Canis lupus familiaris: one gene and its partners. The main gene of each other region encodes a partner of the protein of the gene in region 5 in a complex. Links are inferred from orthologs where the notes say so. Each region holds a gene or a part of one and is shown on either strand. Other genes may lie near its edges. The genes, in order: SMARCA2, SMARCD1, PHF10, DPF3, ARID1B and DPF1.

Evidence for each region.
Region 1: ARID1B (region 5) and SMARCA2 share a complex: the UniProt entries of both Homo sapiens proteins name them as parts of the neuron-specific chromatin remodeling complex. The link is inferred for Canis lupus familiaris from reciprocal best matches to the Homo sapiens genes ARID1B and SMARCA2.
Region 2: ARID1B (region 5) and SMARCD1 share a complex: the UniProt entries of both Homo sapiens proteins name them as parts of the neuron-specific chromatin remodeling complex. The link is inferred for Canis lupus familiaris from reciprocal best matches to the Homo sapiens genes ARID1B and SMARCD1.
Region 3: ARID1B (region 5) and PHF10 share a complex: the UniProt entries of both Homo sapiens proteins name them as parts of the neural progenitors-specific chromatin remodeling complex. The link is inferred for Canis lupus familiaris from reciprocal best matches to the Homo sapiens genes ARID1B and PHF10.
Region 4: ARID1B (region 5) and DPF3 share a complex: the UniProt entries of both Homo sapiens proteins name them as parts of the neuron-specific chromatin remodeling complex. The link is inferred for Canis lupus familiaris from reciprocal best matches to the Homo sapiens genes ARID1B and DPF3.
Region 6: ARID1B (region 5) and DPF1 share a complex: the UniProt entries of both Homo sapiens proteins name them as parts of the neuron-specific chromatin remodeling complex. The link is inferred for Canis lupus familiaris from reciprocal best matches to the Homo sapiens genes ARID1B and DPF1.

The regions. Positions count from the first base shown.
Region 1 is NC_049222.1:91,389,004-91,393,394, forward strand, and holds the start of SMARCA2 (probable global transcription activator SNF2L2), read left to right. Parts: upstream 1-1,479; 5' UTR 1,480-1,640; intron 1,641-2,369; exon of another isoform or gene 2,370-2,505; intron 2,506-3,393; exon of another isoform or gene 3,394-3,526; intron 3,527-4,111; exon of another isoform or gene 4,112-4,132; intron 4,133-4,391. UniProt on the Homo sapiens protein: ATPase involved in transcriptional activation and repression of select genes by chromatin remodeling (alteration of DNA-nucleosome topology).
Region 2 is NC_049248.1:42,025,223-42,028,859, reverse strand, and holds the end of SMARCD1 (SWI/SNF-related matrix-associated actin-dependent regulator of chromatin subfamily D member 1), read right to left. Parts: intron 2,984-3,637; exon of another isoform or gene 2,567-2,983; coding exon 2,465-2,566; exon of another isoform or gene 2,343-2,464; intron 2,339-2,342; coding exon 2,285-2,338; 3' UTR 612-2,284; downstream 1-611. UniProt on the Homo sapiens protein: Involved in transcriptional activation and repression of select genes by chromatin remodeling (alteration of DNA-nucleosome topology).
Region 3 is NC_049233.1:72,418,964-72,421,368, forward strand, and holds the end of PHF10 (PHD finger protein 10), read right to left. Parts: intron 2,380-2,405; coding exon 2,271-2,379; intron 1,986-2,270; coding exon 1,797-1,985; intron 1,536-1,796; exon of another isoform or gene 749-1,535; coding exon 663-748; 3' UTR 553-662; downstream 1-552. UniProt on the Homo sapiens protein: Involved in transcription activity regulation by chromatin remodeling. Belongs to the neural progenitors-specific chromatin remodeling complex (npBAF complex) and is required for the proliferation of neural progenitors.
Region 4 is NC_049229.1:46,326,606-46,330,269, reverse strand, and holds part of DPF3 (zinc finger protein DPF3), read left to right. Parts: intron 1-1,776; coding exon 1,777-1,858; intron 1,859-2,375; coding exon 2,376-2,446; 3' UTR 2,447-3,664. UniProt on the Homo sapiens protein: Belongs to the neuron-specific chromatin remodeling complex (nBAF complex).
Region 5 is NC_049222.1:46,851,278-46,855,484, reverse strand, and holds the start of ARID1B (AT-rich interactive domain-containing protein 1B), read right to left. Parts: upstream 2,839-4,207; 5' UTR 2,824-2,838; coding exon 880-2,823; intron 1-879. UniProt on the Homo sapiens protein: Involved in transcriptional activation and repression of select genes by chromatin remodeling (alteration of DNA-nucleosome topology).
Region 6 is NC_049222.1:115,602,962-115,606,301, reverse strand, and holds part of DPF1 (zinc finger protein neuro-d4), read right to left. Parts: intron 3,110-3,340; coding exon 2,982-3,109; intron 2,726-2,981; coding exon 2,636-2,725; intron 2,236-2,635; coding exon 2,157-2,235; intron 1,943-2,156; coding exon 1,811-1,942; intron 916-1,810; coding exon 865-915; intron 773-864; coding exon 653-772; intron 1-652. UniProt on the Homo sapiens protein: May have an important role in developing neurons by participating in regulation of cell survival, possibly as a neurospecific transcription factor. Belongs to the neuron-specific chromatin remodeling complex (nBAF complex).

The DNA of each region.
Region 1 (4,391 bases), about 45 Mb from region 5:
GGGGAAAATCCTCCACTAGAGAGTCACGGTGCACTTTGAATGACTAATTGAAGCCATTACATTACAAAATAAAGGATACATCATTCTTTTCATAACACTACCATATAGGAACAGTTTTAATTTTAAGAGTCAAGCACTTACATTAATCTGAGTCTGAAATAATAGGCCCCTGATTTAAAATCTCCTAACATTCTTTCACACTTCATAAAACTAAAAATAAAATTCGTCTCAGCAAACACTGACCTATTCCGCCAGCCAAAGAACTGTATTTCAAGGAGAATTGGAACAAGAGGTCTCCAAACTGCCAAGTGCCAGCAGTTTACTGTTTGTAGCCTTAATCGGTCTGCAACGTGAGGTGGGAGAGGACAGACTGTGGGCTGCCCAGGATAAGAGATTTAGTCCCTTTCTTAAATCAAAAGCAGATTCCACGCTTCAGCTGTCCCCTCACCCGCTCGCCCCGCCCCCACGGGGTTGTTTTTCCCTATCTATGTCTTCCTTGTATGCATTTTATTCGAAGATGACAGGTGAGGGAAGCTTCACGTGCCGCATCTGGTCCGCAAAGTAAACAGAGGGGTTAGGGTGGGCTTATTTATTTACAAGGCATTCAGCCTCTCAGCTGTTTTTCCCTCGTTGGCATTTGGAAGCTTGCCGTCCTTTAGAAAAGAGACAGATTTGGCAGGAATGTTCTTTGTGCCCGCCTCCCTTTTTTACGGGGGAGAAAGGGGACAGATTTATAATTACAACCTTGGGTGGGGGGGGGAGGTAACGGGGAGGGGGGTGGCGTAGAAAAAGTTTCAGCCGGCACGACAATGCCTGCTTTTTTTTTTTTTTTTTTTTTCTCTTCTTCTTCTTTTTCTTTCACGGTCCACACTGTGCAGTGCACTAACAGCTCCGGTGCCACTCGGAGCCCTCCCCCGGTCCCCTCCCCTCTTCCCTCTGCAGGCGCGCTCCGGCAGGCGGAGGCACAGTTAAATTCCAGCACCTTCTCCACCTACCCCCAAACTACTACGCGCTATTACTACGGCCGCCCTCCCCACCCCCCACCGCGCGTCGGGGTGGCGGGGCGGGGGTGGGGGGCGCCCGGCGACGTCCCTTCCAAAGCTCCCCCCTCCCGCCCCGAGGTCGACCGCCGGGAGAGGGATGTCGGACGCCCAAGTCCTGCGGGGCTCGCGGCGAGCTCTGCGTCCTGCGCAGTTTCTCCGCTCCAGGCACCAGCACGGCCCGGGAGCCGGCGCCGCGCAGACACACACACACACACACACACACACACACACACACACACGGATCCACGCATACAGTAGAGCCGTCTCGGTGCACATTCTTGCACACCGCCCCCTCCTCCGCCCCCCCCGCCCCGAGCTCCCGGAGTCGCTGAGCGGGCCGAGTGACAGGCGCGTCCCGCCAACCCGCGCCCGGGCGGGCAGGGAGGAGCGGCGCGCGGGGCCAACTGCGGCGCGTCTTCCGGCGCCCGTGGAGGCGGCGAGGGTGGGACGCGGGGCGGAGCCCGACTTTAGGAAGAGGAGGGGATGGCTGTCATCAATGAAGTCATATTCATAATCTAGTCCTCTCTCCCTCTGTTTCTGTACTCTGGGTGACTCAGAGAGGGAAGAGATTCAGCCAGCATACTCCTCGCGAGCAAGGTAAATATAACTTACAACTCCTTTCTCCTCTCCCCCCCCCCCCCCGCCCATCCCTCCCTCCCTCCGGCCTCCGGGGCTGCAGCCGCCGCGCAAACCCCTCCGGCACCGCGCCGCCTTCGCCGGGGAGTCTTCATTATTATCCTAATTATTATTTATTGTGCATGCACGGAGACCAAAACAAACAGGCGGGCCAACCGCCGCCACCGCCACCACCACCACCACAACAAAAAAGCCCGCCTCCTCCCCGCGGGCCTCAGGTGGAATGCTCTAACGACAGCTCCCGGGCGGCCGTGGAAGAAACGGGAAAGTTTCAACCGAACCTTGCTGTTCTAATAATAACAGTAATAATTACTACTTCGGGGAGGCGAGGGGCGGGTGGGGGGGATCCCGACACAGCACAGCCTTGACCCCAGGTAGGCAGTCAGCGATGCGCTCGCTGCCAACTCAAGGTTGCAACACACACACACACACACACACACACACACACACTCCGCAAGGTTGCAATCCCCCCCCCCCCATCCCCTCGAGGCTGGGGTAGGGCGCCGGCTGGAGGACCCGGGAGGAGGATGGAAAGGCGACAGTTCACCCCGAGCCGTCCTCCCCGGAAGAGTTGGAAGGGGCGCGGGAGAGGAGGGCGAGGAGCCCGGGCTGGCGGCGGGGCGCCAACGATCGCGGCTGCCACCCGCCTCCCGGGGACTTGTTTAAAGGGCTCCGGTTGCCGAGACGCGAGCCGATCGCGGCGGGAGGAGCCGAGGCTGGCGCGCCCGGGAGGCGGCAGCCACCGCCGCGGGGCCGGTGCGTGCAGGATCGGAGGTGTCACCTCCACTTTGCGCGTTCCCTCGGGCGGGGAGGAGGACGCTGACCGGTAGGCAGGCCCTTTTTAGGCAGAGGGGTTCCCGGGGCGCTGCGCCCGGGGCTCTGCGGACGTGCCCGCCTCTGGTACCTGGTACCTGGCGGCCGCGCGGGCTCGGCTGTTGAAGTTCGGGGTGTCCGGCCCGGGCCGCGCCGCCGGCGGGGAGGGAGGAGGCCCCAGGGAAGGAGGTCGGAGGTGCCCGCCGGGCTCGGTTGCGCTGCCCTCCCCCTTCCCCGGGTTTGTTTTCGTTGGCTCGGCGTCTTTCCCCCCAGCCTGAGCCGCGGGAACCTCGGGCGTGGGTCGCCCGCGATCGTCGGGGTGCTAGGGGCTCGCCGGGGCCCGGGAGAGCCACGGCGGCCGCGGGCCGGGAGGCCATGATCCGGATAATCCTCTCTGCCTGACTGTCACAAACAGGACCCGCGCGCACCCGGCCAGCAGTGGTGGCGTTCGCCGGAGAAGGGGAAGGGCTGCGAGGGGGTGGGGGGTGGGGGGTGGGGGGAGGAGGAGGGCGGGGGTGGGGAGGGCGGGAGGCGGGGAGACCGGGTGGGAGCCTCCTCCCCACGATGACACGCACCCCTTCCTTCTCGCTCCCTGCTTTCGAGTTTGCTTTATTCCCATCCCAACCTGATTTACCCCTTCCTCTGCTCTCCCCCTCCATCCGGCCGTCTTCCCTCCTCCCGTTTGCGTTGCAAAACAGGGCCATGCCATCTGCAAAGGTGTCGCGATGCACTTCCCCAAATAACCGGTCCGGCGTGCCCGTCCCCAGGCGCCCTCCGGCTGCGGGCGCACCCCGAGCCCGGTGCTCCGGGTGCCCCGCACCAGGCCTCGCAGCCTGGGCGCAGTTGCAGCGCGCGGGGCGGGGCGCAGCAGTGCGGGCTCCCGGGGACACCCGTGCCCTGGCCCCGGCGCCCGGCCGGTTTCCGGTACACGCGGGGAAATCGCCTCCTGCCAGCGTCTTCGCGCGCGCCCCTGCCTCCGCCGCCTGGATTGCATTATTATTTTTATCCGGGTTGCAGCTTTGCGGCGGATCCTGGTGAGCGCAGGGCAGGCCGGCCTGCTGGGGGTGGGGGCTGGGGTGGGGAGGGAGGGAAGTTGGACGTGGATCAGGCAGGAAAAAAAAAAAAAAAAAAAAAGTTTGGCAGGGCGGCTAAGTAGGGAGGGGGTGGGAGGGGGCGGCGAGCTCCCGCGGCTCGCGCCTCCGCGCCCTCGGGGCCGGCCGAGTGTGTCTGCGCGTGAGTGTGCGTGTGTGCTGCGCGCGGGGCCGGGCCGGTGCCCCCGTCGCGGGTAGGGGCGCGGGCGGCCGCGGGGAGCCCGGGGAGCGCCAGGCGAGGTTCGGCGGCGGGGGCGGGCGGGGGTGGCGTGCGCGTGTGCCTGCGAGTGTGAGTGTGAGTGTGCGCGCGCGAGCGGCAGAGAATCAGGAAGTCACAGCGGCGAAGCGCACACAGACATGTTTGATCGCCGTGACATGACGCGCGCGAGGGAGGAAGCGGCGGCGGCGGCGGCGGCGGCGGCGGCGGCGGCGGGGGCCGGGCCGCGGGCTCGGGCGCGGGCCTAGGGCTCGGGCCGGGAGCCCCCTCGGGCCGTGCGGCCGCCGCAGGCTCAGCGAGCCCCGCGCCTCTTTTTGTTCCGCGTCCCCCAGGTAAGGAGCCTGCGCCGGCGCCGCCCGCCGAGCGCGGAGCTTGCCAGCGCTCTCCCTGCCGGCCCCCGCCGGGCTCCCGGCTCGCCTTTCCTGCAAAGTCAGGCCGGCGGGGGCAGCGGGCTCCTCGCCCTGCGATCGATCGCGTGGAAACTTTGCAGCGGGCAGCCCCGCGACGGGGAAGCAGGAGGCCTCGCCCGCCGCCGCCGCCGCCGCCGCCGCCGCCGCCCGTAGCTCTGGCTCCTCCGGGTCCGGGGAGCGG
Region 2 (3,637 bases), on a different chromosome or scaffold from region 5:
CTTGTGCTAAGGGGAGCTCAATCCTGAGCAGTCTTCCCAGCCCTGCCGAGGGGCCCCAGGCTGTACTTGGACAGCACAGCCCTCCCATGCTGCTCGGAAGAACTGAAATCTCACTAGGGCCCTAGAGTGGAGCCTTAAGGGAACAGCAGGCAGAGGCACACAGAGGTCCTCAGCTAGGACCTGGCTGGATAGGGGCCCAAGAGGACCTGCCCCCAAGGTGGCTCAGGATCAGCAAGCCTACGGCGCCTGCGCACACCACGGGGAGAAGATAAGATGGCAGTGGCACGGCCTTGGTAGTACCTCCCTACCTAGAGCCCGGGGCGGGACTCTCAGATCCACGGAGGAAGCCCAATGATCCCAACCAGTACCCAGCCTGCTCAGACCAGCCTGCTCAGCCAGCGGGCTGACAGAGCAAGCTCTGGAGAACCTGAGGTCCACAGCGCAGAAACCTCGTTTTCCACCGTATCCCTAGTGCCTAGTACCGCAGCTGGCACACAGCAGGTGCTCAGTCAATATTTGTTAAATAAAATGAACAAACACCATGAGTGTGGCTAATGGTATTGGAGAAAGAGCTCGGGGAAAAGCTCTCCCTCAGTAGGTAGGGGGACCCATCCTTCAGAAGATTCTTTTATTAAAACTGGGTGACATCGATAAGGGGACAGTACAAAAAAAATTTTGGTCCATGAAAAAAACATAATAATTCCGTTAATAAAAAGTTATCTTCAACAGGGACACTATGTAGGAGTGCTGAACTTCCTTCTCCTGGTTCCAGCCCCAAGGACAGAGGTTGTCCAGTGTCTGTGGGGAGAACCTCTTAAGGGAGGGATGGGACAATGGTCAGAAGGGGAAGATGGAGAGAAAATTCTGTCCCCGGTGTGGAACAGGCAGGGTTATGGGGCTGGAGGATGTGCTCGCAGGAGCCTGAGGAGGGGGTGGGGAAGCAGGGGCTTTGTCAGTTCTGTGGGTTTAGAGCCCAGGCTGAACGGAGTCCCCCTCTGTGCCCAGCTGTCTCCCACCCTGCTATGTTGAGTCTGCGAGCCTGGGGTATGCTAACTTGGGGTGATACAACCTGGAAGAAGAATCTGAGGCTCTCCTGGAAAGATGCAAAACCATCTCAGTTCCAAGGGGCCAAGATCACAAGGTCCTGCTGCTACCTGAGGGGTCTGAAGCTTTGAGGGCAGGGGCTGGGGAGTCACAATCCTGTGAGGCAGGGAGAGGGAAGAGTCACAAACCCAACTCAGAGCTATTCGCCAGCCCTAGGCGCTTTCACTCCTCAGTGCCCTAGAAGTCACCAGTGGGTGTCAACTGGGCAGACAAGGGACAGGAAGACAGGGATGGCCCAGGGCTTTTACCCGTTTGATTTCAGGCCTGTTTCTCCACGAAGGGGTGGGGGTGGGGGGGCAGGGTGGAGTGAATAAATGAGTCACACCTCCAAGCAACAGCAGGAAGGAATAGCCTCTGCTGGCAATGACAATACCCCAGGTTAGATCCCTGGGGCTCTGACAGGGAAAGGCAAGATTCCCCCACCCAAATGCCCTGCGTTAGGACAGATAGATAGCAGGGGAGCCTAAAAAGAGCAGCTACAGGGAGTGTGCTGGGAAGGAGCAACAGTTAAAGAACAAACTCCAATACTGATGTGGACCCCCTACGAGGGAGTAAGAGAAGCACTGAGACAGCAGGCCAATCCAGAGGGCTGCGGACTGACCTGGGGCTCAGTGGGGCCCAAGAACCGGGGTTCCTTTAGTGCTAGAGGGCAAGAAGTAAAGGGAGAGTGTGCTCCAAACCTGTGGAGGGAAGGAAGGAAATTGGATTCTGTTATCCAGAGAGCCAAGATCAACTAGCTTATAGAGTGCCCCCAGGCCTGAGTCTCAGAGAAGGGACTAAAGCTCCCAACTCCTGGGTCTCTGAAGGGCAGGATCAGTGTAGCTGGTCCCCTTGAAGACCACCTGGCCTTAGGCCCAATCCATTCAATGCACTGGTTACCACTACAGGTTCTCTCTCTAACGCTACCTAGAGGTCCTATGTAGACCAGGGGAGGGTAGAGGCACATGGGAACTTTGTGGGGCAAAGGGAAGCTGGGGGACAGGAAGGGATGGGGTGGGAGAAGAGGGTGACAGGTGTCTTATGAGACAGAAATGTGAGACCCTCTTCTTTCTGATGTTGTCCTTGAACCAACAGCATCCCCTGGGAGGCCCCAAGCAAGGCCAAGGCAGGTGCTATGAGGCAGGTAGCACAGGGCCCAAATAAGAATCGATGGAGCCAGCTCAGCACTGTGGGAGAGGCCCTATGTATTTCGGATTCCCAGGGCTTGCTCTAATTCTTGTCGTCTCTGCTGCACCTAGAGAGAAAACAGTGGAGGGAGCAGAAGATGAGACAAGCCAGAAGCTGGCACCTCATACTACTGACATCCATCAGGGGTTCAGATCCCTGCCTTTTTGTCTATTTCCCACACCCAGGCACCTACCTTGGAGTAGAAGTATCGGCACACGGCCTCCTGAGCCCAAGGCTGGAAGTAAAACTCAGCTCGGCGTTCTTCCTCTGGGTTACCCACCACATCGGTCATGGTCTGGGGGACAGGGAAGGGGGGAGAAAGAGGAGAAGGACTTGTTTCCCTCCTTCATACCTGTTATGGATGAATTGTATCCCCCCAAAAGACGACAAAATCCTAACCCCCCAGTACCTGTGAATGTGACCTTATTTGGAAATAGGGTCTCTGCAGATGATCAAGTTAAGATGAGGTCATTAGGGTGGGCCTAATCCAACAGGACTGGTGTCCTTATAAAAAGGGGGAACTTGGACACAGAGACAGACATGCACAGAGGGAAGATGATGTGAAGACACCTGGAGAACACCATCTGCAAACCAAGGAATGCCTGAGGCTATCGCAAGCTGGGAGAGGGGCCTGGAAACACATTCTCCCTCCCAACACCCTGACTTCAGACTTCCAGCCTCCAGATAAAAATAAATTTCTCTTGTTAAGGCACTCAGTTCGTGGTACTTTACTACGGCAGCCCTCGCAAACTACTAACACAACGACCAAAGTCACCCCCTGCTATTAATGAGTCATTGCTCTCTTCTGGGATCCTTTCTGGCACCCCTTGTCCTGTGTTCCTCTGCTCAGCCTCCGTAATTACAGTCACCACAGGACAGGAGAAAACTGAGGGCACGTTTCACTCTTTCGGTACTCACTCCCACCTCCTTGCCTGAGCTTATGGTGCTCTCCTCTCTGAGGATTACCGCAAATCCGAAATTTGCCATGGAGCGTTCCCCGGCTATTCCAGCCTCACCCATCTCCGTCTTTGAATTATGTCTTTGGTAGTGGTGAGTTCCGATAATGTCTTACATACTTTACAACTTTTTTTTTTTTTTTTTTTTTTTGCTTTACAACTTTTTAAATTGTATCAGTCGGTTCCCTTCCCTCTAAAAGAAAATAACCTGGTCTGAAACAATCCTTTATTTTTTGCTAGTAACCTCCTTGCTATCAAAACTTTCCATTCTGTGCAAGTCCTCAGAATGCCTATTTACTAGAAGGGATGCTGCCCAGTTCATGAATCATTGAATAAAACCAATTAGATCTTCACATTTTAAATAAATAAATAAATGCATTAATCCTATGAGCCTAGTTTCTCCAAACAGA
Region 3 (2,405 bases), on a different chromosome or scaffold from region 5:
ATCAAAACAGAGCATCAGATGAAAGGGCTGGTAGCTAGAACTGTGTTCTCCCTAGAGTTTCTGAATGAAGTTACAATGTGTTTAGGACTTTGAAGCTGCTGCTGAAATCAAGCCTGAAACGTACATTTTTGCGCTTTTGCGTGGCTGCGGGGCTAAAGCGCTGGGCCTGCCCCCAGGTGGAGTGGGCGCCCCTGTCCAGACAGGAAACCCAGCTGCACCAACTCTCATCAGATCGTTTGTTATTTATCATCCTGGCCTACCTATTAGTTAAAATTCTTCCATCATTAAATAACTTTGTTATGCTGCCAGTGGTAGGCCAGAGACCATATAGATTAGGAAAATTTCATGCAACTACTATTCACTTTCTGGTCAATGAAGGAATAGTTGAGTATTTCGATTACGTAATATTTCCACTGAATTTCTGAATAGAGCCAAAGTACTAAAGATTTAAAAAAAACTTTGGGAAAATGAACTATGATTTCTCTATCTAAAATTGGTTTCGAAGGTAAAAGTAGCTTATAATAAATAAAGTAGCAGATTTTAAGCACATAGTTAATTTCAGAAATCTTTTATTGGCATAAAATTGAGAATGTAAATAAATTGGCACCAAATATTTCATTTATATCCATATTACAATATTGGGGTCAGAAAGCTATTTTATCTTATCCCTCTTTGCTGTTTTTCCCCCTTCTGCCCACTTTCCTGGGAGTTGGGGGGGCTCGCTGACAACAGTCACAAATCCAGCGACCTAGGAGAAAAATTGTTAGTTAATATACTATGAAATTTAATTCTTTAGGACTGAATTTTAAACCCATTTGGCTCTCCTTTAGCTATCGCTAGTAATTTCTCTGTGGATTTGTGTTGTGAAGGGCACTTAGTTCTAATAAGGAGTTCTAATAATTTTTAAGGAGAAAAATAAACTCCCTTAAAATAATCAGTGTAATCAATACCATGTGAAATTCAATGCAAGTGGAGGGGGCAGGAGGTAATTGTGTGTAATGATGGGGACCTTTGAAAACTACCATCCTTTCTATAACCCAAACACTACCACACTTTGAGTTCAATAATACAAATCCTGATATAAAACTTGTTACAGAGTTTGGCTCACTTTCAGCCGTTTCCCTGCTGCTCAGTGGCAAGTGCGAGTCTAAACTTCCTCCCAAGGCCGGTGTACCAGACTCAGCACTTTAAACTTAATCACTGATAAACTGCACCATGTACTCCATCTGAGTTACTACAGAACTTCAAGTTGCCTGCTTCTTAATGATTCCCAGGAAACTTAGTTCTAGGCATACATTTTATAAAGTATTATACAGTGTTAACTATGCAAATAAGTTCTAAATTTACACAATTATGTGTAATATTTTAGTCCAATTACTGTGATTTATTCGACTCTGTTCATTCCAAAGTTATCTGGAATTGTCATGCTGTCTCATTTTATAGAAATCTGGTTTAATATTTATAAAGGCATAGCAGTCATTTTGTTAAGTTTCTGAATAGATGACATAAAAATAAAATCAAGGCTTTGAAACAAACTGATGCTCTTTAGTTCTTCCAGTAGAAAGACATGAGTTCTCTATGTATTAAGCTGTACCTCTAACACTTACATCCCACTTGTGATTCAGTTGGGTTACCTAGGGATGAAAAGCAGGTGGACATTTTCTGGGTAACCACAGCTCTGGTCACTTCTTGTGAACAGAAGGATCTTTATGGTGTTTATGTGAGCCTTTAAGAAAAAAAGGCTGGGAGAGTCCCTTCACTCAGAGATAACGTTCCTCCTTTTTTTCAGTCTTTACCTGATGGAATAGCACCAAGGCCCACACAAAAAGTATGATAACCTCTGTCACACACATCACAGAACATCATTTCTTCTTCGTGGTGGGGCTGTCCACATATAATGCAAGTTTTACACTCCATACATTGCCATGGGTAGGTCTTAATCATAGAAACAAGCTCCATTGTCATATCCAGGCAAGAAGGATGGCCTAAACCAAAACCAGCATTAGTATTTCACGTAAGAATTTTGCACTTACTATGGCATAATCAAATGCTAATTTGCTTCGGGAGTTCTTGAGAATGGCTACAATGTTTAATCACCAAAGAAATGACAATACAAAGTAGAGAATACACGGGCTGCTTTTCTATGCCTCATAGGTCACCCTATATATTTGATGATTCTTTGACTCAGGTCTAGCTGACAACTAGAAATCCTGGTTTCTGAAGCAACAAATAGGGTGGTTAAAATGTTAAGAAGACATGTCAGTACTTACCACTGTTATCACACTGGGAGCAGTGTATAAGTGATTCAGCCTTCCCTTTCTTGTTGGACTCCTTACCCTTCAGACAAATTCCACATAGAGCATTTGGAATGACCTTTGGCTGGAAGGGTAGAAGAGGGCTATAAA
Region 4 (3,664 bases), on a different chromosome or scaffold from region 5:
TATCATCTAATCACCAATGACTCCCAAACCCATATCTCATGATCAGGGATCTCTCCTGATGTCCAGCTGACTCCAGGGCATCTCCATTGCATGACCTGTAGATGTGTAGAACATGTCTCTAGCTGAGGTTGCCTTCTGGCTCCTGTAGATCTACTCTTTTTCCCATATCTCAATGGGTAGCTGTATCATCTGGCTTGCTGACCAAGCCACAACTTAGGGGACATTCTTGATTTCTTTGCTATCATTTTCTACATCTAATTAGTGACTTTCAAATGGGAACAAGACCCTTATCTTTTCCCCATGCCACAGCCCTAGTTTAGGACACTATCACTGCTCACCTGGATGGTGGTAGTAGCATCCTAAGTGGTCTTCCAGCCTCTAGGACCAACCTGTCTCCTCCCAACCTGCTCCTTCTTACACAGCAGCTAGGGAGATCTTTCTAAATTCCACGTGTGACCAGTCACTCCTCTGTTGCTAACTCTTCAAAAACCTTCCATTACCCTGTTGAAAGGTGTTAGTGTGATTAAAAAAAAAAAGTCTTTCATGATATCTCCTGCCTTATTGCTTGCTTGCTTCAATATCTACCTTTTCCAGGATTTCTGTGCTGAGGGGAGCCAAGGTGAGATTTGATGCAAAACTTAGTTTTGCAAAGTCTTATAAGCCATCTAGGTAGGTCCAAAGAATAGAGGAGAGCTGAACCTGGATAATGAGGAACAGATCACAAACGTGTAGCTACTGTGTGCAAGTTCTGAAGGAGATGTGGAGATGAGTTAAGACAAGGTTCTGCCCCAAGAGCCTTACAATCTGTAAAGGAGTAGACAAAGTATATTCCAAAGGAGCTATTCAAGAAAACAATTGTGTGTAGATATCTACCACATGCCAGGCTTTGAGGCATAAAGGAAAATGCAATTAAATGTCATAAGAAAGAAAGAGGACTATGGGGATGCAAGGGGGAGAGAGAACTTCCATTTGAGCTAGATTAGTGACATTTCTGTAGGACAGAAGAGCTGGAAGACTTGAAGGGTGGGTAGGGAATGGTTTAGAAGAGTAGGGGTCAGGGACTGGGAGAGCGTCCAGGCAGAGGGAACTGCAGGAGCGAAGGTGCAAACTGCAGGAGCAACATTCAACACAGAGCTAGAGGGTCCTATTCTCCCCTGGGCTTCAACCTCCAGCCCCCGAGGACGCTTTGGGGATCTGAAAGGTGGCATCACATCCCATCCATTTCTCTGTACTTGCATAATGAAACCCTGAAGAGGTTCTGAGGTGTCATAGATGTTACGGTCAAGTATAGCCATTGCCCTTTTCACAGGTGGAAAGGGTGAGGTTAGGAGGAATTCAGTTAAAATTTGCAAACATTTAAAGTACCTTCTATGCACTAGGCAATCATTATGGGGAACACAGAAGTGCATAAAAGTGGTTTTCCTCCCTTACAGAAACATAGTTATTGGTTAGGGGAGTTCAGAAGTGTAAGGAATCTCTTTAAACATGAATGTGAGACAGTAAAGGAAGGCCTCTTGGAGGAGGTATGATTTGAGCAGAACCCTAACGTGGGGATAGGGTTGGCATAGTTAGGGAGACAGAGCAGGAATTTGCAGGTGTGGGCAAAGCACAAAGCATATTCAGGGGACAGGGAAGACTGCAAATGGGGCCTGGAAAGGAGCATTCAGGGAGGTGGGTCTGCATGGGAGAGGCTGGAGGAGTAGGGGGTGGCCAGACACTGGCCCTAAATAATTCATTCTCTCTCTCCTCCTCTCCACCTACTCTGTATTCCACCAGGACCAGCTACTCTTCTGTGATGACTGTGACCGTGGCTATCACATGTACTGTTTAAATCCTCCAGTGGCTGAGCCCCCAGAAGGTAATGATGATGATGTCGACTGTAGAAACAACAGCTACCCCTATCACTTAGGGAGCCCTCACTCTCATTCAGGTCTCGTGCTAAGGCCTTTCCATGTCTTGTCTCATTCAATCATCACAACCCTATGCTACCATTTTACAGATGAGGAAATGGAGGCACAGTTCAACCCTCTGAAATTTCAGCTTGAGGACCAAGGAGATGTTTCTTGGTCATGCAGACAAAGCGGTGGGGAGGTGTCAGCTTCCAGGGGAACCAGCCCAGGCCTAGTGCTGCCAGTTATATCGCTGTCAAGGACAGTGGGGGTCTTTACAACAGTTCAGTGGATCGCCTCTGAACACTTAACTATTTTCTGAGGAGCGCTCACCCTCTGCCACGAGTTACAGACTCTGGCCCACTTTCAGGCCTGGGCCTCGGTCTCTGAACTGTGAAAGTCAAAGGAGAAACGGCACTTGCAGGAGTGAGGGCCAAGGGGTGGGGCGAAGGGCAGCTGGTAACTAGGGCATCTTGTTTCTTGTAGGAAGCTGGAGCTGCCACCTGTGCTGGGAACTGCTCAAAGAAAAAGCCTCAGCCTTCGGCTGCCAAGCCTAGGGCCCCGGGTCGCAGACTGTGACCTGCTGCTGGAGAGGCTGAGGCAGAGCCCACTTCACACCGGATCAAGTCCCCACTCCCATCTATCCAGACAGACCGACTGTAAGGAACACCCGTGGTCATGGAGGGCATGGACATGTGGAACCGAGAGGGTGAGGTGTCTGCTTACCCCCTACACGCAGGTTCCAGTACTTCTGTCAGCCCCTCCTTGCTTCCACCAGAAGGATCTTTCACGTTTGAAGAACACCCCTGGCCCCGGCCCTGTGGAACCCCCTCACATTTACCCCGGCCCTGGTTCCCATTTTAAGGGAAGCTGTTTTGTGACCACCGATCAGTCACTCACGTGTCGTTTGGTGTTTTCTATCTATTGTGTTCCAAGAAATCTTCACGCAGCCTCCCGCCTCCTGCTTCAGCTCTTTATCCTGAACTCAGCAGAGGGACAAAAGGCTGTGGAGAAGTTGTTATTTATTACCAGCCTCCCTGGAAACTTCTAGACTCGGAGTCGGGAGGCCATCTTGACGATGAAAATCCCTCTTTGTTCCTTGGTCTCTGTGAAGAAGAAAAGCGGTTTTCTGGACCCCTTGCAGATACACCTAGTGGTGTCTGCAGCCAGGGGGGTCCCCTGATGGGGCTGGCGAGGGAAGTAGAAGTGCTGAGGGGTGGGCAGAGACATTGGGAAGAAAATTCAGAGGCCCTGCCACAGCCGATCAGTAGTTGTTACCCATCGGGAGTGGCTTTGCAAGGGGTCAGGCTTTTGGGGTTCCTTGACCTTCGGAGCTGGGACATCCTTGAGGTGAGACAAGCCACAGCCTATGGCGGGGGAGGATGCTGAGGCTCTGCCTCCCAACCAGCCCGGGTCTGGAGCTTTCCCTGGTGGGACTCAAGAGCCGGGAAGGCGGGTGAAGGCTGCGCAGTCCGGAATCTGCATGTCGGCACAAAGGACTGCAGCTCTGCAAAGCCCTTCAGTACTGTTTTGGCACCACAAATTCCTTTTCCCAAGTAATTTCTCCTTCTACATGGTGTGTGTTTGCCACTGTCTACTGACACCGGACTCTGGAGATTTTAGGACGGGGAAGAGAGGATTGTCACCTAAACAAATAACGGGGTGATGGGGTGATTTATGATCACGGTGGCAACGGTACAGAATCCTCAGCTTGAGGGCTGCTCTTGCCCCCCCCACCCCCCAAACTCCCCAATTATGTGCCGGAGTCTTGTTTT
Region 5 (4,207 bases):
CGAGATCAAAATAAGTCCCATTTAACCGGAATGCGTTCCATTAGCACAGCCTATCCTGTCGAAGGTGACTCCTTTCGAGCAGCCTGGAAGCCAAAAATAATGGATTTCCTGGCTATTCTCGGGAATGAATCGATTAATTTTAGAACCTCTCTCACCTCCACGTCGTTGTAAACCGGGGTGTTATTTTTGCTACGAAGCACTCAAACTCAAAGCTCGCATCGAGTATCTCCGAATAGCCGGGCACAACTACGAAAAACACCCTCGGTGGCCACAAAGCTAACCTTTTTTTTTCTTTCTTTCTTTCTTTCTTTTTTTCTCTTTCCTCCCCCCTCTGCCTTCACCTTGCAGGTTAAGAGGGAACGCGGTGTGGCTGGAGGTAGGACAAAGTTCCTCGTTCTTTTCCCAGTTAAAGCTGGTCGTGGGCGCTCACCGAGGAGACGGGGTCAATATTCCTCCCTCGACCCGGCGGGCCGGGAGCGCCGATCTGGTTACCGAAGCCGCCCGGGCCGCCCCCGGCGCCCACGCCGCGTCCTGGGCGCGCAATCCCCGGCTCCGCGCACGGCTCCGCGCGGGGCTCCGCGCCCGGGGCGGGGGGGGGGGGGGGTGGGCGGCCGCGCGTCCCGGCGGGCGTCCCGGGCCTCGGCGCGACCCTCTCCCCGGGCCCCCGGGCCCCCGGGCCCCGCGCCGCGCACTCGGGCGCCGCGCGCCGCCCAGCCTCCGAGGGAGGCAGCCGCGAGTTAAAATGGCTTTGGGCGCCTCGCCCCCGCCTCCCCCCCGGCAGAAGACGCGGAAAAAGTACGCGGAAAGAAAGAAAGTCGGGCTCGAGGCGCGCGGCGAGGCCGCCGCGGCGGAAGCAGGCCCGGCCGGCGCGGGGGTTACCTGGGATCTGCCCATGGCCGGGCCGGGGGTGCCGGGGCTCATCGCCGGGTGGCTCCTTTGTTGCGCGGCCGCCCAGGCCGGGCTGGCAGCGGCGTACTGGGCGCCCATGTCCTTGCCCAAGCCCATGCCCGCGGCCGCCTGCTGGCCGCCCGCCGCCGCCCCCGCCGCCGCCGCCGCCGCCGCCGCCGCCGCCGCCGCCTGGGACTGGGGCTGCGACGGCGGCGGCGGCGGCGGCGCGCTGGGGCTGCTGTAGTCGGGGTAGCTGCCGCCGTAGCTCCTCATCATGGGGCTGGGCGAGGTGAGCAGCTGGTTGAGGGTCGGGGTGGCCCCCGACGGGTGCTGGTTCTGCCCGGCGAAGCGCTGGAAGCCCCCAGCCGCCGCGCCGGCGGCCGCCTTGCTGAGGCTCGCGGCCCCGCCGCCCCCGGGGCCCATCATCATGCCGCCGCCCTGCTGCCGGGGGGAGCTCAGCACCCCGTACCCCGAGGACGAGCCCCCATAGCCGCCGCCGCCGCCGCCGCCGCCGCCTCCTGCTGCTGCTGCCGCCGCCGCGGCCGCCGCCGCCACAGCTCCCGCTCCTGCTCCTCCTCCTCCTCCTCCTCCTCCTCCTCCTCCTCCTCCTCCGCTGCCTCCTCCTCCTCCTCCTCCGCCGCCGCCGCCGCCGCCGCCCGCGCTGGGCCGGCTGTAGCCCGGATAATGGTTGTACTGGCTGTTGGGGTACCCTTCGTGGGAGTTCTGCAGGGGGTCCATGCTGTTGGGGGCTCCGGCGGCGGCTGGGGCGGAATGCATCATCCCCATCCCGGGGCTTTGTTGTCCGCCATGTTGATCAAAGCAAGGCCCAGTGCGGCCGCCGGGGCCGCCGCTAGCAGGGGCAGCGCTGCCATAGTAATTATTAAACTCCGAGACGGCCGCGGGGCCGCCACCGCCGCCGCCGCCGCTGCCGCCGCCGCCGCCGCCGCCGCTGCCGCCGCCGCCGCCGCCGCCGCCGCCGCCGCCCCCGGGCACGGCGATCGGCGGCTGCTGCGCGCCCAGGGCGCCCAGGCCCGGGTGCTCGAACCGGCCGCCCGCCGGCTCCCCCATCTTGGGCGGCGCGTCGTCCTCGTCGCCCGGCTTGCTCAGCAGAGGCTGGCCCGGGGGGTCGGCCTGGCTGCCCGCGGCACTGTCCTTGGCGCCTCCATGTTGCGGCTGCTCCATGTCGGGACCGGGCTGAGCCGCGCCGCCGCCCGCGCCGCCGAGGCTGTTGTTGTTGGAAATGGGATGTTGCTGCTGCTGCTGCTGCTGCTGTTGCTGCTGCTGCTGTTGCTGCTGCTGCTGCTGCTGCTGGAACTGGTTTAGCTGCTGCTGTAGTGCGTGGTGGTGGTGGTGGAGGTGGTGGGCATGGTGGTGGTGGTGGTGGGCATGGTGGTGGTGGTGGTGCTGCTGGTGGGGCGCTGCGGCGGGGGCTTCGCCAACGGTTTTCAGTTTGTGGTTGGGGAGCAGCCCCGTCTCCATGGCCGAGCCCGGGCCCGACGAGGAGGAAGAGGAGGACGCCGCCGCCGCCGCCGCCGCCGCCGCCGCCGCCGCCGCGGAGGAGGAGGAGGACAGCGCGGCGGCGCTTCCACCCTCCTTGAGAGCCGCCTCGGAGCCGCCGCTCTTGGCGCTGTGAGAGCTGGCGGCGGCGGCCGCCGTGCTCGCGTTATGGGCCATGTTCAGGTCGTGACGGGGGTGCAGGGGGTGGTGGTGCACACTATGCAGGCCGCCGCCGTCGCCGCCGCCCCCCAGCATGGGTCCCGGTGCCGCCGCCGCCGCCGCCGCCGCCGCCGCCGCCGCGCCGCGCGCCCCCGCCTCCAGGTCCCGGGCCCCGGGCGCCGGCCGCGGCCCGGGGGGCGCCCGCCGCTCGCCGCTGCCCGTCCGCGCCCGCGCCGCCGCCGCCGCCGCCGCCGCCGCCGCTGCTGCCCGCGCGGCCATGATCGCCGCGGCGTGGCGAGGCCGGGCGGGGGGCGGGGGGAGACAATAAAACCCACTTTTTAGTCGGCGGCCCCTCCTGTGCGCATCCACACGCCCCGACGGGAGGCGAGCGGCCCCCTCCCCCTCCGCAGGCCCCGCCGGAGCCGAACCGGGCGTCACGCCTTACGGTCTGGGCCTGCTCCCGCTGTGTGATTTCATGGTCAAAGTTTTTAGTTCAGGTTTAAATGAAACTTTTCTCTTTTCCTCTCTAACCCGGATATGGGTAAATACACGACTGACTGAGCCTGTCGGGCCCAGGCCGGCATGCGAGGGAGCCGAGCGAGCCCGAGCAACTATTATCCACTTCTGTCTGATTGCTCGCGTGCACTCGCAAAACGCGGACTGGACTCGGCGCGGGCCGCCCCCCGCCGCCGCCGCCGCCGCCGCCGCCGCCGCCGCCGCCGGGCGCAGCCTCGCGGGCCCCCGGCCGCCCCGCCGCCCGCCGCCCGCCGCCCCGCGCCCCGCGCACCGCCGCCCCGGGCAGGGCAGGGCAGGGCTGGGCTGGGCAGGGCGGGCTGGGCTGGGGCGGCCTGGGGCGGCGGCGGGCTGCGCTTTCTCCCCTCGCGCCCCGTCTCCTTGCCAACCGGCCGTTCGCGTGTTTGTTTTCACGTCTAAAAGGAACGATACAAAGGTGGAAAACGAGTCTGACGAGCAGACAAAAGAGGGAGAAGGGCTGGGGGACAAAGTTGTCGGTTGGCCTCCGGGGTTCGGAGGAGCAAAATGTTTGGGCGATCCGTGCAAAAGGAAAAAAAAAAAAAAAAAGCAGCACTGCCTCTCCCAGGAGTTATGTAATTTTTTTTTTTTTTCCCCCAGAACGTTAGCCGCTCTGCCTCGATTTGGGGCCATCGGTGTAATTCCCACAACTTCTCCAAAACTTGCGAGAGGAGGAAAGAGTTTCGGGGAAGGTCGGCCGCGTGGGTTCGGGGAGTGCGTGTCCTGGACACAGCAAGCGCCCAGGAAGTGCGGAGACGGACCGCACCTGCCCCAAAGAGGACGTTTACGTAACTCTTCTTTCCAGGCACCTTCTGTATGCCTGTAGGCTTAGCAGTGCCTACAGACGCAAAAGTATTCCCAGAGGAGCATTTTTCTTAACGACAGGCGCTTGTCTCTCTCTATCCTCTCTCTAAAGGGAAAGTCTTCGAATAAGTAGACCGGTGTGTGCTATGCTCCAGCTTGCACATGGAAATTTAACTATCGGTGCCATAATAGGGACAGCTGAAGTTTATCTCGTGTCTTCATAAATCTGTACGACGCCTTTCATCATATTTCAGAGGTTAATGTGCACAATTAACCCTCTGGATAGGAGTTCATCTCTAAGCAATGTGAAACAAAACTAAAAGAAATA
Region 6 (3,340 bases), about 69 Mb from region 5:
GGCAACTGCCTGGCACAGGGGGGCCCCACACCCTGGGTTCCCTGCAGCCCGAGCCCCATTACCCGGGATACCCTGGCCGCCAAACTGCTTGTGACAATACCGTGCGATGCCAACCCGCTGGCCGTCCCGCTACCCCAGCGCAGAGACCCCCCCGTTGGCCACTACCCCGGTGCCACAACAGCTACCCAGTCGCCATGACAACCACATCGCACTACCCGTAATACCATGACAACCACAATTCATTACCCACTGTGCTGAGACAACCACAGTCTATTACCTACAAGTCCACCCTGGGAAACCACATTCTATTAACCACAAGTCCACGGCAAGCGCCGTCGGTTATCCACAGGACCCCGACAGTGGCCATCCATGACTCATTATCACAGTCCACTCCCCACGATGCCGGGGCAACCATCCTTCACCACTCCTCGTGCCATGATAAGCACAGGCCACCACCACCAATGCCATGACAACCACATCCCAGAGCCTCTCTGACCCCTCTGGGTTTCCCACAGTCCTCAGCAGTGGAATCCGTTGCGCCACCCCTGGGTTCCCCCCACCAGGCCGCGCCTCTCCACCTCCCATCCTCCAGATCTAGATTCCTGGTGTGCCCTCCACCCAGGCCCCCGGCAACCTCGGGTGGGGGTATCACCTGATCGCCCACAGTCAGCACAGGAGATGAGGTCCTCGGGACACCCAGTCTTCTTGGAGCCACCCAGACAGAAGTCACAGTAGCCGTTGGGGATGACAGTGCCATCAGGTGCCTTCTTGGCTGAAAGACAGCAGGCAGGGGTTGCCACAGGCAGCCAGGGACACCTAGTCAGAGGCTGCTGGGGAAATAGGGGCAGAGGGAGGCATCCCTACCTGTGTGTTTCCTCTGTGCCTCAGGGACCCAGGCCAATTCTTTGTAAAACTCTGGGGTTGGGGGGACAGAGAGAGGGACTCTCACCACAGGCAAGGCTCCACCCTGCCCCCAGCCTCAGCCCCAAGGGTGGACCCCTTTTTCCAGGCCCGGAGGGAGGTAAGGAGACAGAGTAGCTCCCCTGAGCTGCGGCCAGTAGCAGAACAGAACTGGGGACCCAAATAACTCTCATCAGGAGCCCCAGACTCTCTGAGGACAACCCACACATCCTCTTTATTAGGTAAAATTGCAAATAACAGCTTTAGGAAGAGCCCCCTGCTTCCCCATTCATACACACTTCTACCAGACAACCAGTGCCAGCTAAGCGCCCGACTAGATAAAAACTGGGGACGCCACTCGCCAAGATCTGATATGGAAACAGACGGACATTCACAAGAAAAATCCTGAACACGGAGGTGCCCGGGTGTGTAGAGGGGACGGGATGAAGAGACTGCCCTCTCCCACCAAGAGATGGGTGGGAAGACAGTCCCTCCACCGGCAGAGCCTCCCCAAGCCCTCCCCCACCCCTCGGCTGTCAGGGCTGGCACGGGATTGGCATGGGCAGGCGCCAAGGGCTCCCAGGCCACAGACCCTGCCCCTCAGCCAAAGCTTCGCGGAGAAGGGAGAGAGGGAGGCAGGGAGGGAGGGGAGTCATCTATCACCCCCCTCCCCAAGCTCTAATTGAAACAATAAATCAGACCCAGAAATATTATGCCCGGCCGGGAGCGAGAGGGAGAGATGGTTGGTTGCCATGGCAACCCCAGAGCCAGCATCCCCTTGGTCGGTGGGGGGAGGGGACCGCTGAGCTGGAGATTTTCCAGAAATGTCTAATGTGCCCCCTCCCTCCCCGGCTCCTCAGCCCCCACTCCCCGGGTCCCTCACTACCCCACAGCCCGCCTGCCTGCTCACGTTTATGGTTGTTTTTCCGGTGGAAGGGCAGGGCGTGGCGCTCCGCGTTCTCCTCCCCCTCCTCCTCAGCCAGGTGGGTGTGGGTGTAGTGGTAGCTGAGCCCTGGCCGGTTCTTATACCGTTTCCCACAGACTGGAGGGCGAGCAGGGAGGGGGGCGGGTCAGCCCTCCCAGCCGGGCGGCCTCCACCCTGGGCGGCCTCCACCCTGGCCTCGGGGTCACACCTCCCCCCTCTGCCAGAGGCCTGAGCGCCCCGCCCACCGGGCTCTAGAACAGGAGGGAGGGGGCCAGCAGGGGGGAGGTCTCTAGGCCCCACTCTCTCTCTCCCCCTCTTCAGAAGGACTCACTATCACAGACATACGGCTTGTCTCGGTCCTCGAGGGAAGCGGTGTCCTGGCGTTTCCGGAGACCCCCGATGCCGTATGCCTGCGGGGGAAGGGGGGGGGTGAGCGGCCAAGAAACGGAGGGAACCGGAAGGGCTTTCACCTCGTGGGCCTGAAAGGTGACCCGCAGCTCTGCCACTTCCTAACTGTGGGCCTCCACCGAGAGGTTCAGCTTCCTCGCGTGTAGCGTGGGTATAAGGCGGCTCTCAGCCACTGGACAATCTCTGTTTTGCAAACGGTATAATGATATCTGAGCCTCGGTTTGCTCATCTGTAAAATGGGTATAAGATCCTCTACGAACCCCCTTCCCACCCCCACCCCGTCAGGCTTCTCTGGGGATTAAATAGGGTCAAACTGGGGCAAGGCCGGACCATTGTGTGTGCCCAGTACACTGGCTCTGCCACGGAGGGGTGGGGCGATGGAGAAAAGTTGAGAGGTAATACCTTTCCTTTGGCCCTGTTCTTCCTCCTGGGAATGTCATCCTCCAAGTCTTCCACCTCAAGATCATGTGGAAACTCCAGCAGCTGCTGTTTCTGGGCACCAGGAGAAGGGGGATCGAGGTCAAGAAAATGGGGGGGATGCTGTCCTGCTCTGGGGAAGTTCTGGACACCGCTGGAGATGGGGGGGAGGAGGGCAAGTCAAGAGGGGCTTCTAAAAAGAGACAGGGTGTGGGAGGATGGAGATCCAGGGTGCCCCAAGGCCCGGGGAGACTGCAGAGCAGGAACAGGATGTGCCAGGGCGGGTGGCAGGGATGAGAAGGCAGCTCAGGCCCCTGAGGGGTGGTCCCACCTGGCAGTCCATAATGGTCTCCTCCTCCTTCAACTCAATCTTCTTCTCCCCTGTCTCCGCACACAGTAGCGCCTCAAGGACTGGCCCTTCTGGGAGGCCGCCCTCCTTCTTCAGGGGTGCCTCACAGTCTGCAGACAAGGGTGGGGTCAGGGGGGTATGTTGTCCCTGGAGGATTCCTCAAACAGCCCGGGTCAGGGAACCATGCCCTTTGCTTCAGGACAGAGGCTTTCCCACACTCGACCGGCAACAAGACTCAAAGACTCAATCATACATACTGGGAAGGATGCCGAGACCCTGAGAAAGACACAGCCAGACCCTCAGATCCACTCAGACACACTCAGAAGGAGACACAGCCAGAC